Linked DNA regions of Bombyx mori. The protein of the gene in region 2 purifies or fractionates together with the protein of the main gene of each other region. This does not show direct contact. Links are inferred from orthologs where the notes say so. Each region holds a gene or a part of one and is shown on either strand. Other genes may lie near its edges.

Region 1 (2,775 bases), on a different chromosome or scaffold from region 2:
GTGTCGATTTCTGTTACTAAGCGCCTGGATTGTTCTTTCCAAAGAAAATGTATCGCATTATCACTATTTATTGAAAACAACCCTCGTATGTAGGTACGTCGAATTCCAACACTTAAATAAATATGCCCATTACGACTTGATTAAACGACGTGGTATTTCCTTCGCTATTGTACACATAAAACCACCTTTATGGTAAATTTTAATTTGAATCTTCTTGTATATACAATATCTATTATTGGACAATTATGTTATTACTAGCTTTTGCCCGCGACTTCGTCCGCGTCGTATATATTTTTATATATATTTTTGATTAATAGAATGTTAAGGAGCTATTTAAGGTACCGAAATCACGCTTTTTAACCGAATTCAAAAGAGGAAGTTATCAGTTCGACCATCATTTTTTCAATTATGTAGGTATTTTCAGCGATTTCTCGAAAATGCTTGAACCGATTCTGATAATTCTTTTTTCTTTTTTTTTGTTCGAAAGAGTAGACTTTCCGAATGGTCCTGTAATCATCAAGATCTGATGATGGGGTCCTGGAGAAATCCAGAAAAATCTGTAATTTTCAAAGTGATAGACTTGAAGTGATTTAGGTGTTTCAATGTTGTAATGAATAACGTATTTATTTGGATAAGGATTAATATATTCTTTATAAAAACACTTTCACAAAAAATGCTTTATTTTAGAACAAATTTGTTTAACACAAAAAACGTTATAGTGAGCCAACCTTAACTTATACACATATGCTGTCGCGAAATTTATTTAGATCTTTTAAAGGAGAAAAATTCTGTCATACATTAATTTAGCGAAACTTTAACCGTTTCCGCAGTGCATGCAGCGGAAGCTCTCAACAGGAAAAAAAAAACGATTTTGAAACATTCTTTATTGGTGCTCCGCTTGTATTGTTCGTTATGTTATATAGCCTTCCTCAATAAATGAGCTATCTAACACTGAATGATTTTTTCAAGTCGGACCAGTAGCTCCTGAGATTAGCGCGTTCAAACAAACAAACTCTTCAGCTTTATAATATTAATTAATATTTAAATAATAGTATAGATTATGAGTTTATAATTTTCAGACTACGGAAACAGTCAAATTAAACAAATATAAGAATGCCGTTGTTAGAATTCAATTTCCCGATCATATGATTCTACAAGGTATTTTCGCTCCTACTGACACAATCGAGGATGTCACAAATTTTCTGAAGGAACATTTAGCGCATCCTGAAAAACCATTTCATATCTGTGAGTCAAACGAATTTATTATTTTTTCAATTACAGCTTTTTTACTAAAAACGGTGGGTTGTTACCGTGATCTATAGACGGCACTGTCACGCGATCCATCGTGAGTCATGACGTTTAAGTCGCAATACTTAGGTTTCAAACTAGAACAGCTAAGTACGTCTCGGCAAAAATAGGAACATGGTACGGCTCATAATACGCCCTACCATTAGTAATTATGCAAATTCATTAATTATAGAGATCATTTGAACACGTGACACATGTTTATGTAGAAAAATTGTACCTACCCTCTCTGTTAAATAATTGGTTTCATTCTGAAAAAAAAATTGTGAATATTATCTTTTCAGTTACAACACCTCTAAAAGAAACATTAGAACCAAAGATGACTTTGCTTGAAGCCAGGTTTGTGCCATGTGTGCATATGCATTTCAAATGGTTGGAAGAGAATCCAGATTCCTTATACTTGAAAAAAGAAATATATTCCAACACTACTACTAGTGATGCTGCTAGTATTTTAGCTTCAAAATATCGGTAAGATTTATTTTACTAAGGAATGTAATGCAATGTAAAAAAATGTAAGGAATACTCGACAAATCCCATCTTACTTCAAAGTGTCAAATTAGAAGTGAAGCACATTGTTTAATACTTGACTAATTACAGGGCTCCGAGTAGGAGAAAGTTGGAAGAAATACACAACTCGCACACGAACTCCCCAACTACATCTAAAAGCAGTAAAGTTCCGAAATGGTTCAAGAATTAAATAACTGTATCAGGTAGAAGCATCTCGCTGCTTTTAAATAATGGAAATACTTTAGTACTGATTAGATGGCTTTAAAATAAATAATTTGAAAATAAAATTCAACTGTTGCAAAATATTTTTATTCAAGATTAAACGATTATTAGGTATTTACATTGAAGTTCACTAAATTATTTCACCATAATATTAATTATAATTAATAATAATTATTATTAGTTACATAGTAATAAAATTAACAGTGAGTTTCACTCAAACTGAATGAATGACGGCAGATTTCCTAGCTTACATCGAATCGGTTTTATTACGCCACAATCTGCTTTGGTATCTTCGAAGTTTGGTTTAATGTCCCGATAGTATCTGCAATCCATATTTCTTTCATTTTGACTTTCTTCAACACTTTCATTCTTATTTGGTTTTTCCGTATGTTGATTTTTTACTTTTAACAATGTTATTTGTTTTGTCCTCATCAATCGTTTTTTTGTTTGATTGGTAATATTTACATGTCTATATTCACATTTTGTTCCTCTTTCGCAATATCCCTTAAGAAAATCTGAGCACAGTTTAGAGTTTTTATTTAATTTCACATGTAAATAGGGACAATTTTCTTTAGTGCACATTCCCTTAAGATAAAAATAGCATGTAGGCATCTTCTCACTTGTTATATCGTGAGATAATAGACAAGTATCCTCATGACAAATACCTTTTAAAAATTTGCGACAAATGGCCACATGTTTTTTATCATGCAAAAATTTACAATTTCCTTTTATTTGTCGTAT
Region 2 (3,763 bases):
AATTTGGAATTTTTCTCGGAGCTCCTAGAATTGATGTTCCATTTGTAACACCTATCACAAACATCAACTGTCATAATGACAAATTGACAATTGTGGAATTTGACAAAAGGCCAACCAAAGGGTATGCATATATTAAGTGTATAATCTATGGGGTATGCAATTTTCAATATGACCGTGGAAATTTAACAATTTTCCTTTATGTAGGTAATTTATAAAGAAAACCAATGTAATGTCCGTTTTCGACAACGCTGTTTTTAATAACACTCTATACGAAGCTCTGTATCTTCAAATCGAGGATACTTTGTCTTTTGCAAAAGACTTCTTTGAATCGTGTTTTTCATCACTTCCTATCGATAATTTTCCCAAATCGTTCTTAAATCTAGATCAATTCACGTTTTACGGTGAACTAGCGGAAGCCTTTTATTTTAATGAGTTTCAAATACTATTATTAAAAACGTTTCTATTGATATTGTTTATAACTTTATTGCTGATTTGTCTGTCGTGGCGAGTGTACGGTAAAAGAATTTCCGAGAGGTTCATGAAACCGGGTGAGTCATGTTATTATTGTTTTTTAATAAAGGATCGCTGGATCATTGAACTTTACGGTCCAATTATAGAAATAATAATTGAACAGTACTTAAAAATTTCGCACATTCTACTTTATAATTATTACATGTCGCTCAAATTATGCTCCTCTTTTATTATAATAACAATAATATTTACATTATAAAGCAGTACAACAATATAACTCAAAGAAAATGTATATTCATAATTTATCAGATAACTGTGATGCTTTGTGCATTGTTGTCATTTGAGATTTATGACATAGCACCACCTATCCGCAATAGATGTCACTTGAGCTACCTCAACACTATTCATGGGATAGGACAGATGTTTCAAAGATGTTTAGCGACAGTTACAGTGGAATGAGGTCTTGCTGGCTAAGTGAAAAATGATGATAAATTTAAATTGGTACAATATACAGATTTTTTTCACAATCATACTCTATATTTATATATATAAGTATATAATCTATAAGATGTCTCAAATTTTAAAATATAGGTATCAATATTAAATAAAATTTGTTTTTAACATATAATAAACTTATACAGCTACATCAGCCACAATAGAACAACTCAAAGAGAGTGTATCAAAACTGAAGCTACCTAAAGAGCACACTCCAAGAATTTAAAATGGCAGACAAGATAAAAAAGTTCTTCCAGAAGAAGAAAGTCGATGCAAAATTCAAATTGGCCGGTCGAGGTCATAAATTGACTGAGTCAACGACAAGCAGTCACGATTCTGTGAAAAAAGACGTCCCAGTTGTTAAAAGATCAGGGCTTTCAGAGGAAAGCAAAGTTGCAGCTGAGGCTGCTTTAGCTAGACTCAATCAGAAGAGAGAAAACCCAGGCTTTAATACATCATTAGCTGCTATCCAGGTACATATTAATTTTCCTACAAAGATATTTTTAAAGAATGTGCTTTCTTGATGAAACGTGTTTCCTGTTTTTATACTGATAAGCTTAAGGTCAAAATAAACTTAAGTTAGTTGTAAGTTTAAATGAAGGGAAATGAAGTACAGCAGAGTTCCATTAGTATGTTTTATCTTTCTAATTTTACTTATAGTAAAAATGCAAAGAAAAATGCCTCCTTCAGGATAAAAGATTAGTTGTAAATGTATTTCTATATACTATAATATATAAATCTACAGTGATTTTTGCGGATGTTCCATTATAACTACTGAACCATGCATCCGATTGAATTGAAACTTGGTATACATGTAGAAAATACATGGTCTTAATGGATAGGCTGATATTTATATGAGTGTTAGACTTCCTGCACTCAATTTTAAATGCCTAGCGAAGCGGATAGGTACAACTAGTATATTTATAAAAAAACTATATTTCATAGGCGCAAGTAAGGAAAGAATTAGAAAATGAAAAGGCATCTAGTTCAGAAGCTACACCACCAGTCGAGGCACAAAAGAGCTTCACTGAAGAGGATTTACCGAAGAATTTTGCCGCAAGTGGTGTTTATTTCAAGTAATACTGAAGTTTTTTTTACACATATAATATGATATGCACACGATTATGTACTGTAAGAAGACATTCAGTTAATGCCTATAGGCATGAGTTATATGCATCAGCATTTTATAAAAATAATGACATATTGGTAACATTAGTCTAAACCAAAAATATTATCATTTGTGTATCTTTTTACATTGTTGACAAAATCAATGGACATAGAACATAACATAGAACTGCTGTAATAGCCTTGAGAGTCTTCGTGCCGCCTTCTCAAAGTGGTGCAGCGATGCCGACTGTAGATACTTACTGAAGCAGACCTAAAAATCATTTATTACCTAAAAGTTTTATGTTCTTATGCAGCAAGGTTTGCATACAATCTCGAGCAAATTTAATTTAGTAACGTTTTTTATTAAAATTACTTCCACAGGTGTCCTATTATAAGCAACGATATATTACCCCGTGATGAGTGGAAAAAGAATATCAAAACTTTCCTTTACGAGCAACTTGAGGAGGAGAGAGGGCTGACTGCGTGTCTTATAATACAATCATGTAATAATAATAGAGAAAAAGTAAGTGTATATTATCTATTATCTATATTATCTAAATTCTCAACAGTAGACCCTTTTTTTTATGATTGAAGGATCACTGGTGGCCCGGAGGCCTTTCCAGTTTCACCAGGCCAGGTGGGCGAGCAAAGGCTCAGCCAGGAGGGGTGGGATTTGCTAACAGCTATCCGAGCACCTCCGAAGGAGACCTAACAGCTCAAGAGCAGCTGCTTCGCGAATGAATCTACTACCGGATCGGAATCGCGACCCGCTGAGAAGATCCGGCGAGAAACTCAGCGAGCTGATTCATGGCTTAGGTTGCACGGCGAACTCTTTGTCGAGTTCGACGAGTACGGTTACCGGGGTCCCTAAGCCTGCTCCTAGTGTTCGAGCTGAAGGCGTCTAATGCAAAGGTTATTGGATCTGATGGATCCGTAAGGACGTGTCTAGGGCGTCGACGGTGACTGGCTCCTGCGTGATCAGGATTCGGGGGAGTAGTAGTCAGCGGCGGCAACGATAATGCGATTATCATGACGCATAGTAGACCCTAAGATTAACTCAAGTAAAATAGGAGATTAACTCTAGTAAAATAGGGTACTTTGTGTAGAATAACTCATTCACAACAATAGTTAGCTTGTTTAACTGTTTAAAATTCCAAGTATACAGTAAAATTTATTTAGAAATGTTCTAAATAGCTACAAGGATTTTGAGTAATGCACGTACAACATTATGTGTTGATTGTATGAATTGAGACTATTCTACACCTTCTTTTTTAAAAGAAGTTGTAGAATTCTAAATTTAAACTCATCTCATGTTTTTAGTGATCTTTCATGATTGCCAAAGCTTAAACTATTACAATGATAGAAAGAATATTCTCTTGGGACCTAATTATTTATTTTTGGAAGTAACAATTACCTGAATCACATGAGACTGTGGGAGCATTGACCTGTTTCATCATCAGATTTTTTATTGTTTCACATTATGCTGTAATTTTTTTTCCATTGTGTTACATATGCTGTAACACGAAAAACTTTGATTATTAAACATTATCAATCCAGATTTTGTAAATATCTGTCTCAGATATAATCATGAACTTTGCAAACTATATGTGAGATATTCTCATCCTTAACAATGTATTGAATTAATACTTATGGGCATTTTAAACTAATATTCACTAATTAAAAATATATT

Evidence for each region. Proteins that work in one complex are often made in the same cells at the same time.
Region 1: the proteins of UBX domain-containing protein 6 (region 2) and tether containing UBX domain for GLUT4 purify together in Homo sapiens (affinity purification with mass spectrometry; 4 studies listed by BioGRID and IntAct, counting the BioPlex papers as one, with this or other methods). This does not show direct contact. The link is inferred for Bombyx mori from reciprocal best matches to the Homo sapiens genes UBXN6 and ASPSCR1.

What each region holds. Positions count from the first base shown.
Region 1 is NC_085117.1:12,221,945-12,224,719, forward strand, and holds the end of tether containing UBX domain for GLUT4, read left to right. Parts: intron 1-1,079; coding exon 1,080-1,245; intron 1,246-1,589; coding exon 1,590-1,773; intron 1,774-1,902; coding exon 1,903-2,002; 3' UTR 2,003-2,152; downstream 2,153-2,775. Other genes in the region: zinc finger CCCH domain-containing protein 3, read right to left, coding at 2,245-2,775. UniProt on the Homo sapiens protein: Tethering protein that sequesters GLUT4-containing vesicles in the cytoplasm in the absence of insulin. Modulates the amount of GLUT4 that is available at the cell surface. Enhances VCP methylation catalyzed by VCPKMT.
Region 2 is NC_085134.1:4,053,252-4,057,014, reverse strand, and holds the start of UBX domain-containing protein 6, read left to right. Parts: upstream 1-1,193; coding exon 1,194-1,439; exon of another isoform or gene 1,440-1,440; intron 1,441-1,911; coding exon 1,912-2,042; intron 2,043-2,454; coding exon 2,455-2,596; intron 2,597-3,763. Other genes in the region: uncharacterized protein LOC134198725, read left to right, coding at 230-548, 1,113-1,192. UniProt on the Homo sapiens protein: May negatively regulate the ATPase activity of VCP, an ATP-driven segregase that associates with different cofactors to control a wide variety of cellular processes.